Linked DNA regions of Rattus norvegicus. The protein of the gene in region 4 interacts with the protein of the main gene of each other region in a pairwise test. Links are inferred from orthologs where the notes say so. Each region holds a gene or a part of one and is shown on either strand. Other genes may lie near its edges.

Region 1 (4,278 bases), on a different chromosome or scaffold from region 4:
TAACCTCAGGAAAGGTTAACAATAAACTCATAGATCCAATGTACAGCAACCACACTACACCTATACAAATCTAAGAAATCTTAATGTTAATTTGTTTGTCCTGTCAGTCTATTTCCCTGTATTAAGGTCCCAGTCCTTGGGGTTGGGGTAAAGGCAGGGGCACATATACCTAAGCTATACTTAATGCACAATACCACGGGCCCTTTATTACCATGGCATTTCTAACACTTAAAGCTCTAAATGTTTTTTTTTTTTTTTGGTTCTTTTTTTCGGAGCTGGGAACCGAACCCAGGGCCTTGCTCTTCCTAGGCAAGCGCTCTACCACTGAGCTAAATACCCAGCCCCTAAAGCTCTAAATGTTTTGATACAATGAGTTTTCTATTTCATATTTTCAACTTGAAAAAAAAAATGTACTCAGATGTACCTGCTGAAAAATGTGCTGCTCCTTGGCTTTATGCAAGTAAACTGCTGTTCTCTTAGAACACAGTAGAACCACGTCTCAGTACCTCACAAATACGAAGCACCAAAACAAACAAACAAACAAACAAACAAACAACGTGCTCAATATAACCCCAGCTAGCACACATTCTTCATTAAACCTAATTATGTTTATTATAGCTTTCTTCAAGTACAGTCTCTAGACCCAAGTACAATGACAGAAACCTTCAGTCCCAGCTCCTCAGGAGGCTGAGCAAGTCAGAGCTGAAGACTGACTATTTCTAGTGAAACTATTTCTACTGAAACATCTGGGATACAAGTGACCAATACACTGAGACCAAGATGGAAAGATAACAAAAGAAAACACACATAGGACACTCAACCCTGACCATTAAGAAAAAACTATCCTCCCTAGTTTTCCCCAATATCATTCAGCCAACTCACAAATGTCCTCCGTAATTTTTTCAAATGCTACAGGGAATCTTAGGTTACAAGCAAACAGGATACAATGAAATGATTTGTCCATGGCCACACCCTAAGAGAGTATCAAACGTAATATACATAATTTGGGGGTAGGTATTTAAAATAGGGTCTAGCCTCTACCTCCCAAATATCAGGATTAAAGGCAACTTGAGCCTTCACACCCAGCACTCCTGTTACAAAAGTAATATTTAAAGCTAAATTATTTGTTTCTCTTCAAATTAGAAGAGCTTCCTTATAACCTATGTCACAATGTAACACAATATTACAGTTACCAGTTTCTACATAAACATTTTTACTAAAAGAAAAAAAAACCCACTTAGTAACAAACTAACAAAATGTAAATCCAGACCTGGAGAAATGGTCTGCAGTCAAGAGTGCTTACTATTCTGGCAGAGGACTCAACTTCGGGTCTCAGCACCTACACAGGGCAGTGCAAAACCTTCCTTAACTCCAGCTCCAGAGTAGTAGATCCTCTTCTGTCCTCAGAGGCACCTGCACTCACATGTAAGGACCCATACATATACACATACAAAGAATTTTTGGGTTTGTTTGGTTTTTTTTTTTTAATGTAGATTCATCCTGATAAAGCTAAGTAAAATCAGAATTATGGAAAGAATATCTATATAAAGTCAGAATCGCATGATAGTTATTGCAAAGACAAATGTTAAGGATATGGAACCTCTGTTCATCTTTTATCCGATTCTGCTCTTTTTGGTTAAAGAGGTCCCCCAAAACAAGAAAATTAAAGATAACACGCCAAACGAAATAAAGTTTGGATCAAGGCAGGTTCAAGAGCTTTCAGAACTCTTACAATGAAGTCTGTCAGCTGGCTCTCTCACTGCTACTCAGGAGTTCTAAACTCACTCTGTACATAAATCAAGGAACAGGAAAGCTCTCAACAATACAATGGAGTCAAGCCCACACTACAGACACGAGCAAATTAAATGAAGACGCTATGACTTCCTGGTATTCTTTTTTTTTTTTTTTGACCCTAAAAACTCACACTTGTTTTAAAACATTATCTATAAAGCTCTATAATCTAGGAAGTGTGGCGACAAACCTCTATTTCTCCAGAACAAAACCCGATATTTCCACCGCACCACTGCTGACTCCGATCAATTATCTAGGCAGGATAAAGAAAACATCTTTTTTTAATGACTAACCAGCCAACTCCACACAATATCAGACGCGCCTGTCTTCTGCTCCGCGGACTGCGCGTGCCCGCCCGCACCGGGCGGCTCCCGGCTCCGGCCGGGGTTACCTTCCTCACTCCATTGTCACCCCCACTCCTCGGCCCTGAGCCCCCGTCCTGCTGGCGAGCGGCGGCCACAGGGAGCAATCCCCTCACCCACTCCCTCCCAAGAGGCTGTGGGTGTGTCCGCGGGCGGACTGTCGCCGGGACACAATGAGCCACTCCGCGCCACCCGAGACCAGCGGTCATCCCCCTGTCGCCGACCCCGGCCGCCCGCCGCGGCCCTTCCTCTTTCTCCCTACTGCTCGGCCCCTCCCCCGCCGCGCGCAAGCGCCGCCGCGCCGCTCCCCTCCCCCGCACCCCCTCTTCCGCCGGCTCCCTCACCCGAGTCCGCAGGCCCCGTGCGGCCAGGTCCGGGACTCGCTGGCGCGGGCTGGCGAACAGCGCTCGGCCGGGTGACGCTGAGGCGGGCCGGGTGGCTGTCCTCAGGAGGGCGTTTGACAACGCCGCCGCCGCGGAATGTGAGGCTGCGCCCGGCTCGGCTCGACCCGGCTCGGAGCACCCGATCGCGGCCCACGCGCGCTCGCGACCCTGAACGGCCGGCGTCTCTACGCCGCGCAGCCCCAGCGCCCCGCTACCATCGCCGCCGCCGCCGCAGCCTGGGCCGGCCCTCCCCGACTGCGCGAGCGCGACACCGGGGGCCTTTTACGACAGTTCGGAAAGCGAGCGCGTCGAACCCTCACGCCCTCTCACAGCAGCATGTCTGCGCATGCGCGAACCTGCGGCCGCCCCTGCCCGCCCCACTGCGTCCCAGTCCTTCCTCTTTGCATTGGCTTTCGCGAACTGTTGGCCCAGTGGAACGAAGTTAAAAATAAGCTGATTGCGTTCACTTTCTTCCGTGATTTCGAACTCAACAGTACTTCGACATAATTCCGCCTACATCCTGGTTACTTTTTCTCTAACTAAAAATTATTTCAGCTTACTGACTGCACTTGTCGTGCTGTTAAACCAAAAACATGGGTTAGTGTTTTTCTCAGCAGATGATACCCAAAACAGAGATCTCATCTCATTGTTGAAAGTGAATTCAAGTTAATTTCCAGAATCATTTCAAGCGTAGTATTAGGTAGCCTGGGACCTCTGGCTATACAATTGCAGAAGACGTCTAATTATCTCTCTCTCTCTCTCTCTCTCTCTCTCTCTCACACACACACACACACACACACACACACACACACACACACAAAATTGCAATGTTTTATTATGTGCCCTAGAAAGACGTAAGGACAAAGCATGGGCTCTGCAGTCAGACAGCCTTCCGGTGAGAAAGCAGAGTGAGGGTGCCCAAGCTAACTTATTCACACCTTTACAAATCTCATTTTCCTTCTTTATAAACCAAGATAGCGGTATATGCTTCAAAATGACCTTGTGAGGTCAAATACGACGATTTACATAAAGTACCTTATATTACCAATTAAGTACTTAACAAGCATTAATCCTTTCCCTATACATCAGCTCCTTGATAGTTTTCTTCACTCATGTTCTCCATATTTAGTGAAGAAGGTCGTTCTTTTGGTTTGGAGAGAGAGAGAGAGAGAGAGAGAGAGAGAGAGAGAGAGAGAGAGAGAGAGAGAGAGAGAGAGAGAGAGCGCTTGCACCTGAATTAATGCAATAGCCTGGCTGTCCTGGAACTCACTCTTGGAGACCAGGCTGACCTCAAAAGAGATCCACCTGTTTCTGCCTTCCAAGTGCTGGGAGTATTTTTAAATTATAAACGACGAGGAAATGGAAGATAGTGGATTCAGATTTCCTTAGCGTCCCTAATTGCTGCCCTCTACAAGTAGACTGAGACTATGGACGCCCGGGACTTGTTACTGACTCATGATGTCTCAAAACTCTGTATCTGTCCCTCTTTTGTTGTTGTTGTTGTTGTTGTTGTTGTTGTTGTTGTTGTTGTTGTTGTTGTTTTCCTGAATCTTTTGACCTGCATTCTTTAATAAGAATGTGGAGAGACTTGCCACATATGACTTTTTAACACTTGAAATAAAGCAATAACTACATCAACTTTCAGAACTATAGTACACAAATGTGAAAAGCCCAATACTTTTTACTATTGATTGTATGTTAAAGTAATATTTCTACTTGTTTGGGTTAATAGGCTATCAAGG
Region 2 (3,500 bases), on a different chromosome or scaffold from region 4:
TAAGCCACCATGAGGTTGCTGGGAACTGAAACTGTGTTCTCTGTGAGAGCAATGAGTGTTTTAAACATTTGAGTCATCATTTTAGTCCCCAAAACAAACTCTTTTGAAATGACATCAATTGTAGTATCTAGATAAACTGCATATTTTGAGTCAGAAGGAGGTGCAGGCAAGGTCCCTGTCATTTCTCTTCAGTTCTGCAGGAGAGCAAGAACAGGGGAATAAAATGGTCACAGACTCTGAGGCAGAGTAGACTGGGGCACAATGCTGAGGTGTGGCTGGTCCTTGGAGCTTGAGGAGGATACTCTCTGGGACGCTGAAGACACTATACTGAAGGCAAGTGGTAAAGTTGTCTAGTGAGGTGGCCTCTGTCTAGAGTTCTGCATTCAAGTGTGGAAAAGCCACTCGCTCACATTTCTTGAAGAGAACTTGGCATGGTGAGTGGCCCCCAGCTCTGCAATCTGGCTGCCTGGGCTCAAACCCAAGCTCTGGGGTTTGTCTGTAAGCTTTGAAGAAGTAACTTCATCTCCCCATACTTTAGTCTCCTGATCTCTAAAATGGGCTCAGAAGTGGAGCCTTCTGTATTGTGATTGCGAGGGTGTAAAAAAGTTGGTCTAGAGCAGAGACTTACATATAGAGGACTGGCAGACAGCCAAGCCTTGTTAATGCTAGCTACTGTCACTTGCAGAATGACTCGGGCCAAGGAAAACCAAGTAGCATATCCCTCACCATGTACGCTTAAAGGAAACATCAAATTAAGATAGCCTCCTTTTTCAACGAGAGGGGCCAGCTCCCTCTATGAATGACATTTTAAAAGAATGCTGTCATTCCTTTGATAACCTAGTCTCTTTTCACACTCTCTGCTCTCTTTCTCCCACGTTCTCCAGAGATGATGCTAACCTGCGTCCATGCCCCATTACTTTTTAATGCTATCTTTGATCCAAATGGAGCCAACCACAGAAACACAGGCTTCTCTTGGAATGTCCCTGAGAGTAAATGAAAGCTAGAGACAGGCAGGATTGTCCTTTCTCTAGCCCAGGAGACCCTACATGCTCTGGGGAGAGGAAGGTGAGAAAAAAGGTGGCAGCTGGCTTTTGTCCTTTGGCCTCCTTTGTTCATTTGGAGTCATAGGCAGGAAAAATTGTAGCCTTTGGTGTGCAGTGCTGTGTGGTCTAGGAGTAGGTGAAAGAGAGGCACACACCACACACACACAGTTACACACAGTCAGTCACATAGACACAGACGCAGACACACAGTCACAGTCAGTCACTTACACACACAGACACACACACACAGACACACACACACATACAGAGAGAGAGAGAGAGAGAGAGAGAGAGAGAGAGAGAGAGAGAGAGCGCTCTCAGTTACATCAAACAGCCTTCCATTCTTGATCAAATAAGGTGACTGATTGAGCCTCCTAGGATGGCTGGTGTACACAGAGGGCCAATGACATTCACCTCCTCTTTATGTTCTGAGCCCTAACCAATTGCTAGAAATTCTCCAAGAAGTGGGAAATATACATTACATACTTTCCTTGCTTTCTATGACAGACACACATTTTAAAGATTGATTTTATTATTTTTAACAGTGTGTGTGTGTGTGTGTGTGTGTGTGTGTGTGTGTGTGTGTGTGTACACGAGTACTTGCCTAAGGAGGTCAGAAGTGTCAGCCTCCCTGGAACTGGAATTATAGGAGGCTGTGAACGGCCTGGTATGGGTACCAGGAAAATATAAGATTTTTTTTCTTTCTGAAAGAAAATTGGAGACTACGTGGTACCTCCATTATCTTGGCAGCCTATAGCTCCTAATACGCCACGGACAACAGCAGGGTCAAGGAGCTGGCCTGAATCAGTGGCCTCCAGGCTGTCCAGAGCCCTCCCTCTTCTGCACATAGGGAAACCAGTTGAAAGAGCAGTAGTTCCCAGGCTGGAGTGTGCATGAAGAGGCAGGGATGGGGTTGCAGAGTGTGAAGGAGGGGCTGCAGAACAGCAAAAGGAGACTCACTCAGAGATCAGCCCAGACAGCATAGCCACTGGGTAGCGATAACCGGCATGCACACTGCGATGTTACTTCACAAGTTTTAGCTACAGAACCAGGCATGGTGGCACATGCCTCTAATCCCAGTATGCAAGGGCCGGACGCAGGATCCGGCCTTCAAAGCCATTCTCGGCTGCAAAGTGGGTTTGGGGCTAGCCTGGGCTACTCAAGGCCTTAGCTCTATCCCACAAATTGCTTTGACTCCGTCACCTGAAATCAGACGACGACGTCTTCATTTTGTCCTAACAAAGGGCTAGCGTTGTGAGCTGCTGGAGATCCGAGGACAAAACAAGCCACAACAGTGTCAAAATGACGAATGCAAAGCAGGCCCACGTCTTGTGGCTCTTCCCTGCCTGCTCTCTATAGCGGCTTCAGGAGGAACGTGACAACATGAATTTTAGCTGTATGCTCCTGCTGCTGTGGACACAGCAGCAACAGAACTTGGGTAGTCTTTTTAAAATTATTTTTTCCCCAACACCTCTCTTTCCTGACACAAAGACCTGAGCACTAATTACACTCCCATTAGCATTCTCCACCTGACAAACAGCTCTTTGGATCAATTGTAGATTCATTCGTTTTTAACCGTGGCACTACCTCTGGGTGGCAAGAGTCCGCACTACTGTTGACAGCAGCTGCCCGTCCTTGGCTGAAACTTGCATGACATACTGTGGCTGCCCATTCACTAGGCTGCCACAGTCCTCCACCGTCTTCACCACAGGCGCAGCTGAGCTGGTGCAGTCTGGCAAGACTTCGGGCAGGTGACTGCAGCGACTGGTTGTCATGGCAACAGACAGCAATTACTCTGTTAATGGCTTCCACACTCATAGAGGACTTCCATCTAAGAGAGATCAGAAAACAGTTAACTTGGCGGGATGGTTAATGGAAAATGGAGAATTATGGGCTACCGACATCAGCATGTCATTATTTAATATAAATATGAGGGTAGCTTAGATGTAGCATTTTCATCTTGTTACTATTTAACACGAGCGTACTCACATACATTTGCACACACCCACTCACAGACACATAGGCCACAAGAGTTATGAACACCTGCTTATGAACAAGACAGCAAGCGTATGTGTATATATACACACATTCAGGAGCCCAGCTTTCTGGGAGGAACAGAGTGATCGCTCCGAAGCCCAGATCTGAAGAGGAGATAAGCAATCCTCCCGCTCTGCCCCAGAGATGCAATAAGTCTTTGTTGACATTCTCTAAAAGTTACTAGAATCATTATTAAAACTGCTCGTAACTATTTTTTTCTTGTAAGCAATTTTTTCTCTATGCAGTTTTATTCAGAGATATTGAGATTAAAAACCAGGGAGAAGAAAAGGGAAGGAAAAGCAAAGATTTTGGCTAACTTGTACATTCTGAGGCATCATTTGCCAAGCGTGGTCATTCAATCACTTTTCAAGCTCTGCCACATCTGTGTCCTGTAATAAAACACTCTACCTTGCAAGCCAC
Region 3 (3,500 bases), on a different chromosome or scaffold from region 4:
GACTTTCTTTCCAGTATTGGCTCAGAAAAGCCAAATCCTTCTCTAGTTGGGCCTGCTGTTCACGTCACTCACCCATACTCCATCCCCGAGTCTAGACTGTTATCCTTTGAAATCCCAACAATGCATGGTGCCTACCACACAGCAACCACTAGACTATCCTGAATGAAGAAATGTCTTCTACACTGTGGCCCTCAGACCCACTCCTCTCCACTTCCACACTCACAGTCTGGTACCCACTACACAGGCCTTCCGAATGGAAAGAATCTTATACTTCCCATGTTTACTTGCTTGGTTTGCTGGGTTTTGGAGACTGTCCTGGACGTCACTCTGCCCCTTCTCCTCTGAGTGCTAAGCTACCCCACTTGATCCTGAGGACCCCAAAGCTCTTAGAACATGCTTTGTACATGATGGCACTCAGCTAACTCTGGACTAATTGCATCCTCAGGCAGGATTCCCTGCCATCCATCCCAATGAACGAGTCTGCACTGGAGCTAAGGGTTTGCTCTTCTCTCTGGCCCTGCCCTCCCTCTAACTCTAACCCTGAGTGGAACTCACTCAAGGATCTCGTTGTACTCGATTGTCTCCTCCAGGTTCTGAAGGTTGGGGTTGACACTGCGGATGGCTCGCATATACGCCTTCAGCAACTGAATGTCTCGCTTCTGTTGGGTGGGAACAGAACCAAAGAGGACGCTTAAGCCAATCAGCGGGTCTGAGAATGAGCTGCCTGGGAGATCTGAGGAACAGTATTGTGTAAGTGTCTTCAGGAAGACAGGGAAAGACATAGCAAAATGGCTTCATGAAGAAGGCACTCCACATGTCAGATGACCGAATGGTTGAATGGGATGAAGGGAGTGAGGGAAGACAGATCCAACTGATTCTCTCCTGAACTGTGGACAGAGCAGGACACAGGCTGTGGCTGGTGCTCACGGTGGTATCTGGGGTGGGCAGGAGGTTATTTACTAAGGTGGACACGTCCCCTCATCCCCCTCGTTTCCTGGGCCCACCTGTTCTGCCAGCTGGTGCTTGTGTTCAGCAGATGTCTTCTCCAGCTCTGCGATGCGCGTCTGCTGCTGCTGGACCACGGAGCGCAGGTGCTTAATGCAATTGTGGTTTGGCAGCTCATCTTTGGGCATCTCCAGGCTGCAGTTCAGAATGAGACAAGAGCGGAACAGACTATTCAACAGGACATTAGAGGCTCATGGCTCATTCTGTGACAGAAAACTGCTGAGTGGCTTTCTGCGACTCACACTCTTAACAATCTTCCCAGTCCTTCCTTTCTTCGCTTTCCTGTTCCAAACATGCTCCTTGCCCTTATACAGAACTGGCACCCACACGACAGCATTGTGAGGGCCCGCCAATAAACGCCTCGAGACAAGGTCTCGCTCAGCACAGACTACCTTCCAGCTGGTGCTAAGGATGACGTTGAGTTTCTGCTCTCCTTCTCCACCTTCCAGTGCTGGGACTAAGGGTGTGATCATCACCATTGCCCCACAGTGCTCGAGACAGAGCCAGCTCTGCATACTAGGAAAGCTCTCCACCAACTGAGTAAGCAGCACACGCCCTACCCCCTCCACAGACTGTCCTCCTGTGCCCTTAGGGGCAGCCTGAACTAGGAGGGGAGCTGCTGTGTCGCTCCGGCTGCTCTGTGGGCATCCTACCGCACACTCCTTCATGAGGAGTCCTACTCCACTGCGCAGAGCACCAGTGTTCAATACTTCCCCCCTCACCACACCGGCAGCAACAGGCACAAGGGAACATGAAGGTGAGAGACTGGCATAGGTGACCTGGCCTGACAGAGGACATTGGTCTGGAGAGAAAATAAAGCACCTCAATGTCCAGTGCCACCAGAGCTCACTGGACTGCTGTCCTCTTCACAGTTGGAAAGTGGAGCTCTGTGGGCAGGCGGGCGGGCACGGAGCCCAGGAGGTCGGGGGCGGGGGGGCCCTTGCCTACAGGAGTGCAGTGACAGCGGGAAGGCTCGCCTGCATGAGTGGAAGGAGGAGTCTCACCCGCAGCCCTGCTCGCAGGTCACAGGCCGCTTCGGGTTGTGCTCACAGTCACTGAGGTGGGACATGAGGCTGTCAAGCCTGACAACAGCACTGCAGCCAAACACAGCGTTGTCACAGGCAATCTGCAGCTTTGACAACATGTTCCGCATGATCCGAGGCACTGGGCGCAGGTGGGCAACCGTGACAACGCTACGGTCTACCGGACACGTCTGCTGCTGAGAGAACCATTGGGTGATGCAGGCGTTGCAGAAGGCATGCTCACAATGAGGCGCCTAGAAGGGACACAGGGAGTTAGCGAGAGCTGAGACCCTGGACCCAGGAGTTACGAGGCCGGCAGTGAAGCCTGCAACCAGACTCTGGGGGCCCACGGTAAATGACAGGTGAGCGTTTTCAGGTCAGGTACAAGACTTGTTTCCTGTGCTCAGGGGCAGAAATGAGTTGAGACAAGACAAACAAGCAAAAGGTTCTGTAACAGTAAGAGACACACCGTCCGCTCCAGGTCAATGGAAAAGAGGACACAACACTAACACTAACAGCCAGCAGGATCGCATACATGATAACTGCTACGTAAGTCCAGAGGAAGATGAGCTCTGCAGGCAAGGGTGAGCGCAGCAGACCCATATGGAGATAGGTGTGTTCTACACACAGGGCTTCGAGAATGACTCAGACACAGCTTACAGCTGGGCAGAACCTCACTAACCACAACAGAAGTAAGAGAGAGCAAGGGCTGCATGTGGCCCTGCAAGTCGGTGTCCCCAGTTCATAGGCTGAGGAGGAGGTCGTCTTGTAAGCACCTGCCCTAGACGACAAGAGCTGCCTCAGAAAACAAAGGCAGCTGGAGAGGGGACTCCCAGGTAAGAGTGCTCACCACCAAACCGGATGAGGTGAGTCTGATCCCTCGGATCTCCGTGGTAGGAGAGAACTGACTGCTGCAGACTGCTGAGCTCCATATGTCCCACAGACTATGTGTGTATTCACGAGCACGTGTGCACGCTGAATGAGTATAAGAAGACCAATCCGGGCCTGCTGTGCACACCTCTAAGCCCAGCACTTGGGAGGCAAAGGCAGGCGCGTTTCTTTAAGTTCCATGGCAGCATGGTCTACAGAGTAAGACCTTGTCTCAACAAACAGTCCCTCCAAACTCTCAAACAAACAACTGGGGGCTGGAGAGACCCCTCAGCAGTTAAGAGCACTTACTAGTTTTCCAAGGATTGAAGCTAAGTTCCCAGCACACACAGCAGCTCATAACAATCTCTAACCAGTTTCAGAGAGTCCAACAGTTCCTTCTGATCTCCCCAGGAACGTACACACGGCATATTCATCCCCCAGCCCTTTCTTATCCACACGTATAAAAAAATAAAAATCTTTAAGTATTTTTTTTAAATGAAAGAAAAAAGACCCAACAACAAGCAAGGGGAACTGTGGTGAGAGGTTGAGATTTCTCTGTGAAGACTCAAGTTCCGTCTCTCTGCGGTCTGTCATGACCTTTCA
Region 4 (4,300 bases):
CAGAGATCTGCCTGCCTCTGCTTCTCCCGTGCTGGGATCAAAGTGTGCTCTGACAGGTCAGTTATCTTTACAAAGGCACTTAAAACAGGCAAAAAGGAAATCAAGTTGTAAGACCCACCAAAACACTACCAAATGAATTAAACCTGTATGACACGGTGAATTAATGACTTGACCAACTACTCAAAAGCTCATATTTAGGGTTGGGGATTTAGCTCAGCGGTAGAGCGCTTGCCTAGCGAGCGCAAGGCCCTGGGTTCGGTCCCCAGCTCCGAAAAAAAAAAAAAAAAAGCTCATATTTACGCACTTAAAAGGGAAATATGTAGACTGCACTATGGGTTCTTCACTCAGGTGAAATCAACACAACCTATCTAGGGAAATGAAATAAAATACTGGTGAGGATAAAGCTAACTGTTGGCTGTGGTTTTTTACAATATTAAATTTTATCTGATCTTTTCCAAAATATTCTTTGCAACTTACTTCCTTGAACTGAATTCCCTGCTAGGTTTTTAAGGCACCATTCTTGAACTCATATTTCCTATTTCCTTCCTGAGAACCATTGACAATGTTTTTAACCAGAGGAGGAGCTTTTATCCGATTTGCACACTTGGGTGTAGAGGTCAAAGAGAAACCTTCTAGCATGTGGGTCTGAATCTGAACTCGGTCATCAGGCTCCTCAGCCATCAATTAAATAGTAGAACAGTAAATGGAGCTGGCCACTCAGCCCATCAGTTAAATAGTAGAATAGTAATAATATGTACTACTAGAGTCATACAAATGCCGATAATCTTCAACTTAAACACCAAATGCCATGGTGAAAAGTCAGACCACACAAAGCAAAGAGGGTATATCAATTTTCAGGGCAGTAACTTGACACTTTTAGATAAAAGAAAGCATGAGAGGTCTAAAGACCCATACAACCTTATTATAGAATACATGTTGTAGGTTGTTAACAACATAAGAATATACAACGACCCCAAACTAAGTTTGCTTATTAAAGAAAAAGTTTAAATAAATCACCATTAAAAATGTGAATACTGTCATTCATATTGTTTCTGCATTGTTTCACAAAAATACAAAGTCATCCTTCCATTCAGAGTTTTGGCAAATGAATACAGAGGTCAGAGTTCATGCTACGTAAGACAGATCCCTACGTATTTCTTAGTATGCTCACTAACGCTGCTAACATTGTCACTTCAATTTTAAGTGACTTTCTTCATGTCTACTTGGAACGATGGATAATTGTCTGCAAGCTTGGGGGCACAATAAAGCTGGAGAGCTACAAGATTTCTAACAATTTCTCATATGCTTAAAATGACGAATTTTAAAAATCATTAATGACATTATCAGAGTACCAAGCAAGCATAATAGGAAAACTGTGAACCTTGAAAAAAATAATTACTTTCAGAATTGTTAAGTTCAATCATAGAAAAACTGGCATTTTTGTCGATTTAGCACTTTTATAGCAGAGTAAAATTATTACTTTCAATATTTCACATAAATAAATCTGGTAAGCATTAATATGCTTAAAATTTGCAGGACTTACAGGCAGTCAGAGTTTTATTTTTTAAATATGCTATTTCCTGATATATTTTGTGACAGAAAAATAAACCTAACTCAATAATGAGCTACAACAATGTGTATCTGATGAAATCCCTTGGTTTTAATAGGCCTCTTTTTAAAAGTAAGACTCAAGTTAACTATGAGGGACATCATAATGAAGTTTCACAGTACAACACTAGTCACAGAGGCATTACCCTAGGAGAGCCTCTCTGATACGGGTGAACAGTATTTTGAAATAAGCTACTCACACACTCCCATTATTCTTCCTATTTCAAATCATTTAATTAACAAACAACTTGCCTTTGACTAGACAAAAAGCTTTAAATATCAGTGAGGAGGCCTAGTTACTTACTGGCTGGGTACGTAGAAAAGAGATGACTATCTAATTTGGAATTATTTTTTTATCTATAGTGAAAATTGTTTCAACACCCCTTCCCAATTCAAGAATGCCCATTATGTCTCCATAGATCCCCCAGCACTGTACCGTAAGGGAGCAACTGAAAGTCTTCTCGTCTATACCTAAAGACTGTGAAGGCTCCTTCCCCAAGGAAAAGACAGCAAAGGCCTGGCAGGCAATATCCCCAGTACCCCTGAAAGCGTGGGCCTGTGAGGTGCGCTGCTGCCGGGGATCTAGTTACTACCTTTCCCCTTCCCCCAACCCACTTCCCGGGTTTTCTCGGCCTGTTCCTTCCCCACCGTACAGTCACACTTCCAGATGTTGTTGCCGCCGCCTCGGGGCTCTCTCTAGAGCTCACGTGCCCGGGACGAGTGCTTCGGCATCTGCCCCCCAAACCCTGTTCCTCCCCAGGCCGGCCGGCCGCCCGCGAGACCGCCTATCCCAGGGCCCGGGGAGGGGAGGGAAAGGCGGCGGGAGGAGGAGGGGAGACCGCCGCTTCCCCATAGGCAGAAAGGCGGCCGCAGCGAGGCCGGCTGGGACCGCCGGGGTCGCGGAAGGAAGGGCCCTGCCGCCCTGGGCTGAGATGGGGGTGTCCGGTAGCTCATTCCTGACCTCCTCGCTCTTCAGCACCTCCTTGAACTCCCGCTTGATTCGCTGCACCGCGATGTTGGCCATGTCTCTGCCCGCAGCTGATTCGTACCCGCCTCCTCCGCCACCGCTACGACCACCGCCACCGCTGCCACCTCTTCCTCCACCGCCTCCTCCCTCAGTGATTCAGACCCGAGCACACGAACGCTGCCACTGCCACCCTTGCCGTCGCGTTCCCCCTCAGTGTAGAATCACCTCCGCGCCCGGCCACCAAAATGGCGCCGGGTCCGCGCATGCGCACCACGCTGACCCGGGCGGGCGGCGCAGCCGCTCCAGTGGTAGCCCCATACGTCTCAGCAGCGAGCCCGCGCCGCGCGTCTCAGCCGGGGCTTCGGCCGCGTGGCTCCGCCCTGCCGGCGGCTGGGGCCAGGAGGGTGCGGTTTCTGTGCCGGTCCGCGGGGTTTGGGCCTGCGGGGTCCTCCCCTGCCCCTCGGCCCCCTTTACGGTGAGGCCTCCAGTCCCTAGCCACGGACCCGAGGTGGGAGCCCCGCCTGGCGGGTTCCCGGGGCCCCAGCCGGGCTGAGCCTCGCTCTAACTCGGCCAGACCCAGAACCCACGGGCTAGAGGTGCCTCCCTGTGTCTAGCGGAGGAAAAAACTATGCAGGAACTGGGTCCTGCCCAGCGTCCGTTGGTAAACCCCCGGGATATCCACTGCCGTAGCTTTTGTTCTGGAACCATGATAACGCAACTATTATTCGGTCATCTCAGGTATTACAGATTTTTAAGGTTGTGTAATGGTTGCGTCCCACGGGTTGTAATTGATACAGGTGTTGCCGGGGACAGGCCTGTGATGAGTTTAAAAGCCAGAAGTTAAATCTTTGACCTGTTTAGATAGTCAATGCTGAGCTGTAGAACTAACATGTTTTTCAAACTTGAACGCACCTCGGAATCCCTGGAGAGCTGGTTAGATTACTAGGACCTATCCCTAGAGTCTGGATGGGGCTAAGAATTTGCATTGCGAGCAAACTCCCTGCTGCCTGTTTTTCAGCGACCACGCTGTGAGAATGGCTGAATTAAGCATGTGAAAGTCTGTATAATTTATAGTGACAGTTGGAGAAATAGAAGGCCGAAAGAACTTTAGACCTACAAAGGTTTTTGGCGCTCGTAGATGTCAATAAGCAGTGAGTGAATATAATTGAGTGGAGAAAAGATGACCGAGTAAAATGTTTTAATTGAGCAACAACGTTGAGAGGCTATTTGAAAGTGGTTAGTAGAGTTTAAAACAAATAACGGAATGTAGATGCTGAGGAATACTTTTGAAAATAACATTGTGAAATAATGAAGGTATTATTTTAGGAGTATGTTTCATGTATTCACCTAATCAATCAGTTCAGTATTCCATCATAAGACTAATACGAGCTGAATGTAGTGGTATAGGCTTGTAATCCTAGATTGGGAGACAGAAGCAGGAGGATCATGAGTTCGAGAGAAACCAGTCTAAGAGTGCTCCCACTTCTCTCCTATATCCGTTGCCAGCTGCGGTTCCCTCGTCTGTGAAATGAGGAGGTTGTTTAAACTTAAGAGTTCAAAATTCTGAAACATCTCAAAGCCTTTCCCTGAGTAGACAGACATAAATTATAAAAGATCTTATAGCAGAGCCCTCTAGTGGTTATAAGGACCGTCAACTATATACTGAACAACTGAACACTACAAAGGATTTTTGCTATGATATAAATCTAGAAATGTTGTAGGTAT
Region 5 (3,500 bases), on a different chromosome or scaffold from region 4:
TCTCAGATTACACAAGCTAACAGCTATCTGGAATTTTGAACGATTGACTTTGTTGTAATTTCCTGCACACTCCTTTTCCCTGTCAAACACGTTGGTGGTACTTTTCTCTACCGCTGGGCAATGCAGGAAAATGTAATGTGTGCCTATCCTCCCTTGACTGTGTTACCTACATTCTTGTGGCAAACTTCCCTATATGGTAAAAAGATGGATTGCAGCCACTCGTTCCTTGGACATTTGAAGTGAAGGATCTGTGCGTGTACTGCGTTCGCTTCCCTCATCACATTTAGAAGCAGGGATTTCCCTTAGCATGTCAAGTTCCCTCATTGTGTCAAACAATCACAACGCTGAATCCCAGATGTGGTTCGTTAATCTTCACCATGGTGAAATCACCTATGTAGCCTAAGTAAATATAAGCAGTCATTAGCATTAGGAGAAGGCAATAGGAACCGTTTGTTAAAGGTGATGTTATTCTTTGAGCAATGATACTCTTTGGATCATCTGATTAATTTTGTTTGTTCAACAAGTTGCTCTGTTTTTCCTGAGAGGAGGGACTTCAGTATATATTTACTTAGCACTTTTAACTTATACCTCTTTTTCTTTTAATTAGTGTCTTGTGATCTAAAAATTAGCTGATGAACATAATACTTCACACAAACTCTCTCAGTCATGTTTGCAATAATTAGGCCCACTGTCAACCGAAGTTGAATAGACATCAGGAGACTTTTTTTTATTTCTTCCCTGCAGCTTTCTAACCTTATTTAGAGAGTATTTTTTTAACTTAACATATAACCATGTTAATTACTATTCCCCAAGCTGTAATTTGGATAATTTCATACTAGAAGTGGATGGAATTCAGACAGTCTTGCCTGTAAACTGGCTGAATAAAAGAAGCTTATACAGGCAGGAATGCTTTCATGAAACCCGAGACTGTCAGAACATGATAGTTCACCAATAAGCTGAATATCATTTACACAAGGAGGTCACATGTCCTCTAAAATCCCACATTTGGTACAGACATTTGCTACACACATTCTTCTTTCTGGTCTTTTGTTTGTATAGTAACTAGATAAAGGTCCAATGTGAGTAAATTACTTTTTCCTGCAAGAGTGAAGAAAATAAATGTCTGTAAATGCTCAAATGATAGATTTTTTTATATTCCTTTTTCTCTTTTTCTCACCGTTCCTTCTCCTGCCCCATGCTGTCTCTATCTCCTCTCTTTGTAACAACTGCAGACATTGAAAATGATCCAGAAAACAGTAAGAGTTGAAAATGATCCAGATTTTAGAATTTGCCCTCACCTTGACAACACTAAAATTACAAGCAGCAGTCAACTTTTACAAGATACCCTCATTGTGTAACATTTATATCCTGCCAAAAACATGCTACAACTAATCAGACAACAAAGGTGAAGAGAAATCCTTCACCTGCCATGTAGCTAGCAGTGAATACACTTCTTATTTCCATGACATTTGCTGGCAGAAAGGGGTTGGCTTAAGGCGGATCGGACTAACCTTCAATTTGTCATAGCGCTCACTCAAAGCTGCCACCTGATGATCGCGGTGCCGCCCAACCAGTTTACACAAGGCACAGATTAACTGGTCATCGGTCACACAGTACATATTCACCTTCTCATCCTCATGCTCCAAGCACATTAGCCCCCGGATATGCGAGTCCGGGATTGGCTCAATCAGACGATGGCCTGTAAAGGGCTTCTTATTCGGATGAGTGGCTTTCAGGCACTCATCACAGTAGGACACTTCGCAAGTAACACAGGTCTTCACAGCATCCTGGGCAGGATCCTGGTCACAGAACTGGCAGAGAACTTTCTCGGCAGAAGACATGGTGTTGGCGTCAAAGGCCCGCTCCCTGCGGGTCTCACTGGGAGAATTGGGCCCACTCACGGATGCTTTCTGAAACCTGTCAATGATGTTTTGTAAGGTGACGTTGCGCTTGAGCCCGTCTAGACCTCGCTGGCTGAGCGTGATGACATGCCGGCAGGTGGGGCACTGGAAGGCGTTGATGGACTCCACAGGCTCGTTGGTGGCACAGTGAGAGACCAGGATGCGGTGGGCACAGTTGAAACAGAGGCTATGTGCACAGGGAAGCAGGAGAGGGTCCTCAAAAAGCTCCAGACAAATAGGACAGGTCAGCTCCGACTCCAGTGTTTCCATCTTCAGGCAAAACTCTCCGGGGTCATCAGCAAAATCCAAGGAAGCTGATCAGCTATCTGGAAACAGAATGTAAGATTGGATTAAGCATGAGGGGTCAGCGGGCAGGGGTGGGGGGGGTGGGGGTGGAGGGGACTGGGGCTGTCAGCTTCAAATGCATCTCATAGTAATTCCAAACACAGGTCATGGAAGGGAAATTATGTGTATGTTCCAAACATCTGTCTTTATTGGGGGCAAATGATAAAAACAAAACAAAACAAAACAAACAGAAAAAACAAAACAAAATAAAACAGGAGCCTATCATTTTCTCAAATTTCTGATTGTTGAAAGTGGCAGCTTTCTTTTTGTAATGTTTATTGCTGTTTGTTTATAGTTTTTACAGCTTTGGGCTTTAAAAGGTCTAACTCTAATCTAGTAAGTGACTGAAACTGCAGCCTCTATAATTGGCGTACGATCAGAGTAATCTTACATCACGAACAAATTTTCCCTTTCATTAAAATGCAAAAACTTGTTAATGAAATAATGTCATTCACAACTCTGAATTTGTGAGCGTGAATATTAATGTATACGTATTTTCAAAGACTATCAGTTTGTAACGGCAGGGCAGGATTTTCAATTGTACAGATGTACTTGTTATAGAGATGAACATGAAGCATATATGAACTGAAATGCATACATTTCAGAAGAAAAAATCATGTTTAGATTCAGAACATCATTGCTCAAGACATTCTTGAGGATAAAACCTATGGATTTTTCACAAGACGCTCATGGTAGAGGCAATATTTTTGGCATATGCTCATTGCTCGTGTATTGATTAATCCAGAAGTGGGATTTGGGATGCAGACAGAAATTAGAAAACTATGTGGTAGCCTTTCTGAAGGCTGAAACGCTGATAAGTAATATTATCACATACATTTGATAAGTTGTAACAATAACCCCAGTGCAACCCCATTTGGCCCAAAATATCTTATCTCAGGCTGGTCACTGTTGCCAGCAACAGGTCTGGCTGGCAAGAGGTTTTGTCTCACACTCACAACCCTGCTGGCCCAGTCATGACCTCTGCCAGCTCTGTTGCTCCCCTCCAGGCCACCTTCGGGTGGCCCAGCTGAACGTTTCCTTTCCCATAAATACCTCGTTGCTTTGTGAACTCCTGCCTGCCTTCCCTTCAAAAGGAGATGATAAAGAATCCCACACAAGCACCAGTTCATTAGGGTGAAGAGGCCTCATGCTCATTAGCAGGCCTGGGAACTAAGCCTCTTTTGAACCTTCTCCCTTTCCAGGCCATTAGTAGAGAGGACTGTAGAATTCTGCCTGGCATATTAGCAGCAGCCC
Region 6 (4,186 bases), on a different chromosome or scaffold from region 4:
AAGCCAAAGGAAAAGAGACCAGGTTAGCTTACCTAAAGTTAACGGTGGTGGTGTGGGGTCTAGAACATATTCCTTCTCTGGATCTTCCCCTTTAGGCCCCTCTGCAGTCTTTCTAAGTCCAGTGTCCATCATGGCTGCCGAGCCTTTTCTGAGAGATTGTGATTTGTTCTCTTTCTTTTGCACTTTTGTCTTACAAGGATCTGCTACTGAGAGATGTCCAAGTTGAAGATCACGTAATATGTGGTCTTGTAAGGCAACTGCAGAGACTGCTAAGTTACTTTTTTTAGATGAACGATCCTAAAAAAGGGGGGCGGTGCTTATTTAGTGGAACAGCATGTAACATCATTTAGAAGAAAACTCAGGCCTTGTTGCTCCTTGATGGCAGATTACCAAGTCAGTGGGAAGGAATGCCAGGGCAATATTTAATCAGAGCAAACTCCAGGCCCAACATCTACAATGGAAGTAAAGGGAAACCTTTTCATTTAATTACTGGAGCCTTAATTATAAACCAATAAATTCAAACCTGTGTGTGACTAAATAAGATGCTACTGCTTTGCTATGGCTAAATTAGACTCCAGGCAAACTCTAAAAGGAGATCTTGCTCTTAAGTAAAAGATCTCTGTTGAAAACTTAAAAAACATTCCCTACAGGACCAGGTCCCTGAGGCAGGAGACATATGCAGGTAGCACCCAGAGACTGTCTGTTACCCATATCACATGCACTTTCCACTTCTGCTCACAGTTTCCCAGGAACACAAGGTTTGTAAACTATTTTTATACCTGTAGAAGGTCCAGTTAGACTACACCGCACAAATACAAACATGTGTCAGTTCTGAGGAGGATGGGATACCTTATTTTTTAACATGCTGTATCAGGAAACACCGTGGTGAGGCTTCAACAATCTTTAGCATCCCATTACAATAACTTCCATTTTTTTCTGCTGAAACAGAAAGCAAGAGTGTGTGTAAACATCTGGATCTACTTGGGCTATGGAAATGGTAACAGTGATGCCAGCCACAGAGCATGAGCCACCCTGTCCAATCTACACAGTCATAACCCAATTCATCCCTGTCCTCAAACAGCTTACCATGGTGCTAGAAAGAATTCCACTATAAAGAACAATCTAGCAGCAAAAATGGAGTCTTAGAACAAAGTCTTAGAACAAAATGAGACACTAAAAGTAAATGAACAATCCTTCAAGATAACATTTAGCCCAAGTCTTAAAGAGAGAAATGTGTGTGTTAGATGGCAGGAGCAAGAGCAGAGACGCCCACCAAAGCAGCTGTGCTTGTGTTTGGCAAGAAGGGCAACAATGAAGAAGTGGGTATATGGTGCACGCTGGCTCCTTCAACCTGGCCAGCACATCGGTGGCAGACACTGAGTCCCACCTATGGTAAGTTACTTAAGGATCTGCAGCTCAGTTTTATAAAAAACACAAAAATGCTGAGGTTTGAGGATTATTATACAAAAGGAAACCTCTTTAAGGGCTTACAAGGGACTGTTCTGCACAAGATACTCATAAATGGTTACTGTTGCTCCAATTGCCTCAGAAATGGGGGGATGTATTTGGTATTGACCTTTTTAGTTTTCAGACCATGCTGACCATGATATTCTACAGTGGAGAGAAAAGGCACCTTTTCAAAAGCAACCTAACGGAATAGTATTGAGGGACTAGCTTTCAGAAAGGTGCTCACAGAGCAGCTGATACACCTTCAGGCATACACTAGGCCCTGGGTTCAACCCCTAGCACTGCAGCAGACACTTGAAAAAATTACAGGAAAATGAGTCCCACAGGAACTCATGTGTGAGATGGGAAGAAGAGAGCCAGGTGCTGTTCAGATCCTTTGGAAGCCTAGGACAGTTTTCAGTGTGCTCACCTTCTTGCTCCTTTTCATTGCTGGCATGGAGATCTATGAAAGAAGTTTGTATGCAGTATTTCTTACAGTAGCCTTGGCTGGAGGAAGGCATGTAAACTACTGAAAGGTCACTGTTATTATTTTCCAAATTCAAAATGCCTCTAACTTGGCAATGACCAAGTATGCATCATAAAAATAGTTTATTTTTTTTAACAAGATTCATACCATCGTTAACCAGTAGGTAGCTCTTTGGTCTACAATTTCACCAGATTTGTATTGTGCCGTTGTGACTAATGTCAAGGTAAAAAGCGTTAAAACTGTGCCTCACTAAAGTCACATAGCATTAGCAAATTGTATGATTTAAAAAATAACGAAACATGCCAGATGTAGTCGAACTGTATGAGAAAACATAATGGTGACCCGTTGGACTGGCAATAGGTGAGAAATAAACCTCTGCCTGACGCTAATTGCCACAACAGCAAACTGACTGTAATTAGTTTGCACACGGTTAGGAGGTTGTGCCAGGTAGGAAAACACAGGACTAGACGACAAGCCATTTAATCACCGATTGCTTTCAGTGATCAGAAGGCAATTAATACATGCGTCAATAGAAATGCACTGGAGAGACGGCATCTAAGTTTAAAATACTCTCCCAGTTTGGTTTGAGGTCCCTCGCCACATCACAGCCTTGTGCCTTATAGGAAGGATCCGCGGACCGCCCACAGCGACCCGCACCTTCCGCGTCAACACTACCCGCGTTCGGCCCTCTCTCCCTCTCTATGAACCAGAGCTTTTTTTCTGTCGGACAGCGCTGCAGGACAAACTCACACTGGCCCTTCCTCTTCTCTCCGAAGCACCTTTTCAGATCCACTCCTCGTTGCCACGGCAACTAGCGGCCGGTGCGCTTCGGAGTGCGCACGCGCGCCGGCTTCGCCTGACCCTCAGTGCGCATGCTCGTAGGTCCCCCACCCCTGACCCCCATTCGGCTGAGCAGTCGTCCCTTCAGTTTCACCGGCGGCGAGCGGCTTGCTGCACCCGCGCTTTACGTCATGGCTCCGCCTGTCACTTGTCGTCAGCGTCTGGACGCTGGTGCGGTTACGCTGTCTTGAGGCGCGGGCCCTGGGCGTGTGGTGTGGTGTGCGCGGGCTCTTACCCCTCTTCCTCGGTGTGTGATGTTTGGCGTCTTTTCGCTGCGCCCTGGCCAGTTTGTGTGACCCGAGGATGCGCTGACCCGTGCGGCTGTTTGTAGTGGGCTTTCAGTCGTCCCCTCAGTCGGAAGATTTGATAGCTGCCCCTTCGACTGTTTTGCGAGCGCTGTGGCGTCGCCATTCGACCTCCTACAGTTCCTCATGATGGTTGCCATGGCTCCCGGTAATCGTGGCCTGTTCTGTGTTGCCGGGTGAAAGCCTTTTCACGTTCGCCCCTTCCAGTGGTCTTCCTAGCTCTAGGCAAGGCTTCTCTGAAGGTGAGGGTGGAGAGAGCTGCCCCTGTGGCTACTGACCTTGCAGGGTACCTAGCCCTTCTGCACTCTGTGCCATCTCCTACCCCTCTGAATATGCACCCCCGCGCTGTCCGATGAACCAGGCTTGAACCCCTGGGGTCCTTTAAAAGTCTCTCACTTCTTGGTGCCAAGCAGAAATAGTGTATTGATTTTCTTCTGCCTGTCGTGACAGTGACTTTGCTGCATCTTAATTGTATACAATTCACCTGGAAGTGCAAAGAAAACACGAGAATGCAAGGTCCTCCATGAAGTAAAGTCTGCAGAAGTTACTGAGCTGTGAGATTGGTTTTCTGTCACTAAAAAGTCCCAAAAGTCGATTTAAATCTGTTATACACGATAAGTCTCTGGAACAATATAATTTTAAACTCACTTAAAAGTTACAGATTTTTTTTTTTCTTGGCAATGAACTTTATGAATTGGCTCTTACTACTTGAAGCTTGTAAAAGCAGATTAAAAGCAGGCCAACTGTTTTAAAAGTCAAATTCACAATGAGTTTTAAGTTCTGAATTTTCACGTGGTGGTTCAGGTGCTTTCTAGACATAGTATAATCTTAGCTTATGTTTTAGTGAGTGATGTATTTAGGAGAGCAGTTAAGTCCACCATTTTGCTGTCTTAAGACTGGTTTTTATTTGAAGTTTAAGAGGGAAAAGTTTTTGGATACCTTTAGCTAGACCTGAGTTTAAATCTACACTTACTTTCTGGATGTCTGAATTTTAGCAGCTAGCTTTACGTTGTTTTCAAGGGGGCCTTGCTGCATCCTGTCATTGGGATGTCTATTAATTACCCCAACAGTAGCCCAGGACATTATTCTGTGACTGAACATGTGGCCA
Region 7 (4,226 bases), on a different chromosome or scaffold from region 4:
GTGGTAGCATAGGCCTTTAATCTCAGCACTCAGGAGGCAGAGGCAGGTAATCTCTGAGTTTGAGGCCACGCTGGTCTACAGAGTGACCAGGACAGCCAGGACTATATACAGAAACCTTGTCTTGAAAAAAAAACATAAACAAAAACAAAAATAAGCAAATAAATAAAATAAAAAGAAGACACTCACCCCCCCCAAACTCCTACCTACTTTCTCAGGTTTATATAGCCTTGTTCACCCTTCTCCAGTGTAACAAGAAGGATGTCTCACTGAAACCCATGTCCAGAGAAGGCTGTTTCTCCCTAACTCAGGCTGACTGAGATCCTGATAATCTACCTGTTCCAACTAAGCTTCATTCTTACCTGTGCACAACACTGCCTGAATACCCCGAGGGGAAGCAGACCCCAGAGCAGCCCAGCTCCTCTGTCAGCACTCACCTTTTGGACAACTGAGTCAACAGAGTTAAAAACGGGCCCATCACTGGGTATCTTATCACCCAGTGCTTCATCCAGGGACTCTGTCAAGGACGGAGGTCGGGAGCTTGGTGTCTCAGCTGGCTGTGTCAGTGATGGAGGTCTGGGTCTCAGGTCCTCTTCTGGCTTTTTAATAGTTTCCAGGACAATAGGCACAGATTTGTCATCAACCAACAGCTTGTGTTTTCCCCTTTTCAACACATTCTCCTTATCTTGAGGGGAGACATTAAACACATACATTCACACAGCAATGAGAGAGGATTTACAGAAATGACCCTCAGGGTCCCTCTAGGTTGATTCCAGAAATGTCCGAGGACACCACCTTCAGCGATATCCCTAACAAGCTTAGGGCTTTCACATAAGCTACGCATACTCTCCCCTATGCTTTTGTGTTTGTTTGTTTGTTTTTGAGACACCAGGTAGTCCTGGCTGCCCTGAAACTCCCGGTGTAGATCAGGCTGGCCTTGAACTCACAGAGATCTGCCTGCCTCTGCCTCCAGAGTGCTGTAATTAAAGGCATGTGCCACCACTGCCCACAGAGACTTTTAAGAATTTCTAGATGAATTTTTAATCCTTCACGCAAGCTAAACACTACGGGTGAACCCTAGAGTGTGGAACTGTTGCGTAAATTTCCCCAAGATTGAAACATTCTACCCTGCAGAGAAGTTCCTTAAGCAAGAAGGCAAACAACTCAAAATAGCTTTAGGAAATCCCCGAAATTGAATAGGCCCCTCCCTGACAGAGTAAGCAATAAAGACTGTTGGGAAGAGTCCTCCTGAGACTCCAAGAACAGAGCTTCGATGAAGATCTGCATAGGAGACTCTCGGACAAGCCAAGCTGAGAAGAAAACTTTGACACTAGAGAAGCTACCTGCAGAAGGTGGACACTAAGCTCCCTGGAGGAGGTTTACACCAGCTGAGGCACCTGGAAGGGATATGCTCAGGAGCCTGCTTGCAGGCTCTACAGTGAGCTCCAGGTTCCCAGCTTCCTGAGCTGCCCCCCATGCTAGGTCAGCTTTGGCGATAGAGTTGTCTTTGAGTCATTTCCCATATTCCTGTGAGTAACCCCAATAAACACATTGGTTTACCAAGTTGGACCTTTGCAGTATCTGTTGTAGGCCCCTTGTCAGATGCACACAGAGGACGTGAACAGTTATTTCTGGCATATTCTGGAACAGCAGGCTGTTGATGGGAGAAGCTATTCAGAACTTCAAAGTAGGGAGCTTAAGTTTTACCATATTATATAACTTGGTTATTAGAAACCACGTTTCTAGTCTGGGCATGCTGGTACACACCCACAGTCCTAGCACTTAAATGGTAGAGGTAGCGGTGTGTGTGTGTGTGGGGGGGGGAGATCATGAATTCAAAGCCAATCCGTGGTACACGGCAGGATCCTGTCTCAAAGGGTGGGGGTGGGAGGGAAACCTATGTTTTGTAATAGTTTTGAGTCTCTTATTTCAATGACGTTGAATAATAGTTATTGCATAGTTAAGTGGGGACCCCCCCAAAAAAACCCAAGAATCCAAAAGTCTAGAACGTATATGCATTAGCTGACTCAGAAAAAGAATGCATGAAAATGCTTTCATTGGGGACATTAGTGGGGCACCGCATGCCTTTAATCCCAGCAGAGGCAGGAGGATCTCTGTGTTCAGCCTACAGAGCGAGTTCTTGGACAGCCAGGGATACAGGGAGAAACCCTGTCTCTAAAACCAACCAAAACCAAACAATCTTCAATTAAGTTTTCATTTGCCTTTCCTTTTTAAAGTGGTCGTATGTTACTTTTGTAATCCTTAAAAAACACATCGATGAGATCATTATTTACAACAGGAAAGTGGCTTGGAGTCCAGACCCGTGGTGGAGCACTTGCCTAGTGCGCACAAGCTTCTGGGTTTCCTTCTCAGTCCCAACCCCCACACTTTGTTTCTTTTCTTAACTGGGTCTGCTGGGAAATTCTCCGATGGAGTCAACCGTCTGCGGGTGGACTCATCTGAGGCTCTATCTGCCACTGAGCGATGGAGGAGTCTGTGGACCGCACTCTCCCACAGGCAGAGAGAGCCACACTCTCCTCGGAAGCATGCAGGGGTCGGTTTGGAAACCTGTTGGATCCACCTTTGCACCCGAGCCTTATTTCCCCTGCCCCGGCTCACCTGCTTTTTCAAGGAACTTCACCTCGAAGGTGTCCGGGGCGCCGGGCCCCACGGGATGAACAGAGCACTCCCCGCCTCCGGAGGCCCGGCTCTGGAAATATATCTCCAGCTTCATGTGCGCTCGGGGGATGGACTCCGGCAGCCTTACGAGTAGTGGGGACGGCGGGTCCGGACTGGAGGCCATGGCTGGCTGCGTCTGGCTCGCTTGGGGCTCAGGGGTGCTGCACAACCAGGACAGAGAGAAGGCGCGTCCTGCCCCAGAGACCCGAGAGGCAAAGTTTCAGTTTCGTTTCCCGGGAGGTCCCTCCCTGTTCCCCGCAGAGCCGCCGCCTCTCTTGCTCTGCAGTCGGCCAGGGCCATCACCCGGTGAGTAGTTCGCATACTTGGCGGTGGGCGCTTAGAGGCCCCGTGGTGGCAGGTCGCCTTCTTTTCTTGAAGGAACGGAAGAGTGGCGGGAACCGGGTTCTCAGCCTCAGGCTTCCCAAGGGTGGAGCGGAGTAGAGGGTAAAGAGTTTCACTTGTTTGTGCTTTTGTTATATGATTTTGTTATATGAGTATTAGAACTGGTATTTACTGAGATGCGATTCTGATTTCAAGTGGAGGGAGTTTACCTGCTTGGTGACCTATCACCAGTTCTTTCCCCTTTAGATGGGCACCTTAGGGATTTTCTGCTCTGGGGCCTTAAGTCAGCGAATAGCACAGATCTACTTGCTTCCTAGAGAGTGAGGTAAAGAGGCACTCAGCACAGAAGCAATAAGTACCTGTGAACCAAGCAAAAGTCAAAGCGCTGGTTTCAAGCGGAATCTTAAGGTGGGGTGGGGGAGGGGAGGAAAGTATCCTTCCTTGGCTGGTAGAGCTGAAGTCCAGAGGGTTCAGTTCCAGGGCCAGGGAGAGGAAGAGGAATCTTGGTTGTCCTTCTGACTGCGTCTAGAATCATCTAAAACCCTAGCTAGCTGCATAGTGCTTGGGGGCAATTTTCTTGATTGGGTCATTTGAGACCGGAAGACCGACCCTAAACCTGGGTCACACCTCCTGGTAGCAGCCTATATAAAAGGACCAGGAAAACGGAAGTTTTGAGTTTTGTCTGCTCTCCTCAAAACAGACAAGTGCACCCCAGAGCAGACTCCCATGAGCAGCCTCCAAGGAACCTTAGAGGTCTTTCTTCTATGAAAGCAACACTGCCCTCTGGAGGCTCAGCGGATCCCGATCGGGCGGTTTCGGTATTCGAGTTACTCCTCAATGTGCATGGCTAACTGGACTCTGATGCTATACCCAGTTTTTTCTATTGCAAAGACATTATAGATCAGCCCAGAGACTCAGTGATAGCAACGGTTTTAGATAACGATATTGTAAGTTTTAGTCGTGAGTCTAACAGTTCATAATCTTTAGTTGTATTAGCTTACTAGGCTAAAATCATGAAAAAGTAAAATTTCCCAGAGCTTCAGGTTTTCATCCAGACACCCTTAGGTCAGAGCTGTTTCTAACAGATTCAGGGGAACGCACCCCGTGCAGGTTCAAGCAGTTTCTTCTGTCTTCCGAGACGCTGTGGGGGAGCACCACTGTTGAGAAGGCCGTTCTTTCGACGTTTTTCCTGGTCTCAGCACTTTCCT

What was found.
Region 1: the proteins of Ube2k (region 4) and Rnf111 interact in binary tests that used the Homo sapiens proteins (3 or more experiments, as listed by UniProt). The link is inferred for Rattus norvegicus from reciprocal best matches to the Homo sapiens genes UBE2K and RNF111.
Region 2: the proteins of Ube2k (region 4) and Marchf3 interact in binary tests that used the Homo sapiens proteins (3 or more experiments, as listed by UniProt). The link is inferred for Rattus norvegicus from reciprocal best matches to the Homo sapiens genes UBE2K and MARCHF3.
Region 3: the proteins of Ube2k (region 4) and Rnf41 interact in binary tests that used the Homo sapiens proteins (3 or more experiments, as listed by UniProt). The link is inferred for Rattus norvegicus from reciprocal best matches to the Homo sapiens genes UBE2K and RNF41.
Region 5: the proteins of Ube2k (region 4) and Mid1 interact in binary tests that used the Homo sapiens proteins (3 or more experiments, as listed by UniProt). The link is inferred for Rattus norvegicus from reciprocal best matches to the Homo sapiens genes UBE2K and MID1.
Region 6: the proteins of Ube2k (region 4) and Rnf32 interact in binary tests that used the Homo sapiens proteins (3 or more experiments, as listed by UniProt). The link is inferred for Rattus norvegicus from reciprocal best matches to the Homo sapiens genes UBE2K and RNF32.
Region 7: the proteins of Ube2k (region 4) and Dtx3l interact in binary tests that used the Homo sapiens proteins (3 or more experiments, as listed by UniProt). The link is inferred for Rattus norvegicus from reciprocal best matches to the Homo sapiens genes UBE2K and DTX3L.

What each region holds. Positions count from the first base shown.
Region 1 is NC_086026.1:80,058,185-80,062,462, forward strand, and holds the start of Rnf111 (E3 ubiquitin-protein ligase Arkadia), read right to left. Parts: upstream 2,801-4,278; 5' UTR 2,498-2,800; intron 2,434-2,497; exon of another isoform or gene 2,363-2,433; coding exon of another isoform or gene 2,085-2,362; exon of another isoform or gene 1,982-2,084; intron 1,328-1,981; exon of another isoform or gene 1,304-1,327; intron 1-1,303. UniProt on the Homo sapiens protein: E3 ubiquitin-protein ligase. Required for mesoderm patterning during embryonic development. Acts as an enhancer of the transcriptional responses of the SMAD2/SMAD3 effectors, which are activated downstream of BMP.
Region 2 is NC_086036.1:52,475,798-52,479,297, forward strand, and holds part of Marchf3 (E3 ubiquitin-protein ligase MARCHF3), read right to left. Parts: intron 2,875-3,500; 5' UTR 2,819-2,874; coding exon 2,631-2,818; intron 1-2,630. UniProt on the Homo sapiens protein: E3 ubiquitin-protein ligase which may be involved in endosomal trafficking. E3 ubiquitin ligases accept ubiquitin from an E2 ubiquitin-conjugating enzyme in the form of a thioester and then directly transfer the ubiquitin to targeted substrates.
Region 3 is NC_086025.1:1,443,254-1,446,753, reverse strand, and holds part of Rnf41 (E3 ubiquitin-protein ligase NRDP1), read right to left. Parts: intron 2,282-3,500; coding exon 2,010-2,281; exon of another isoform or gene 1,983-2,009; intron 1,141-1,982; coding exon 1,005-1,140; intron 660-1,004; coding exon 556-659; intron 1-555. UniProt on the Homo sapiens protein: Acts as E3 ubiquitin-protein ligase and regulates the degradation of target proteins. Polyubiquitinates MYD88. Negatively regulates MYD88-dependent production of pro-inflammatory cytokines.
Region 4 is NC_086032.1:43,069,371-43,073,670, forward strand, and holds the start of Ube2k (ubiquitin-conjugating enzyme E2 K), read right to left. Parts: upstream 2,801-4,300; 5' UTR 2,633-2,800; coding exon 2,570-2,632; intron 1-2,569. UniProt on the Homo sapiens protein: Accepts ubiquitin from the E1 complex and catalyzes its covalent attachment to other proteins. In vitro, in the presence or in the absence of BRCA1-BARD1 E3 ubiquitin-protein ligase complex, catalyzes the synthesis of 'Lys-48'-linked polyubiquitin chains.
Region 5 is NC_086039.1:27,796,421-27,799,920, forward strand, and holds part of Mid1 (E3 ubiquitin-protein ligase Midline-1), read right to left. Parts: intron 2,228-3,500; 5' UTR 2,172-2,227; coding exon 1,512-2,171; intron 1-1,511. UniProt on the Homo sapiens protein: Has E3 ubiquitin ligase activity towards IGBP1, promoting its monoubiquitination, which results in deprotection of the catalytic subunit of protein phosphatase PP2A, and its subsequent degradation by polyubiquitination.
Region 6 is NC_086022.1:6,881,177-6,885,362, forward strand, and holds the start of Rnf32 (RING finger protein 32), read right to left. Parts: upstream 2,801-4,186; 5' UTR 2,713-2,800; exon of another isoform or gene 2,251-2,712; 5' UTR 2,184-2,250; exon of another isoform or gene 1,877-2,183; intron 940-1,876; 5' UTR 865-939; coding exon 850-864; intron 298-849; coding exon 33-297; intron 1-32. UniProt on the Homo sapiens protein: May play a role in sperm formation.
Region 7 is NC_086029.1:78,318,913-78,323,138, reverse strand, and holds the start of Dtx3l (E3 ubiquitin-protein ligase DTX3L), read right to left. Parts: upstream 2,801-4,226; coding exon 2,617-2,800; intron 683-2,616; coding exon 435-682; intron 1-434. Other genes in the region: protein mono-ADP-ribosyltransferase PARP9, read left to right, coding at 2,730-2,982.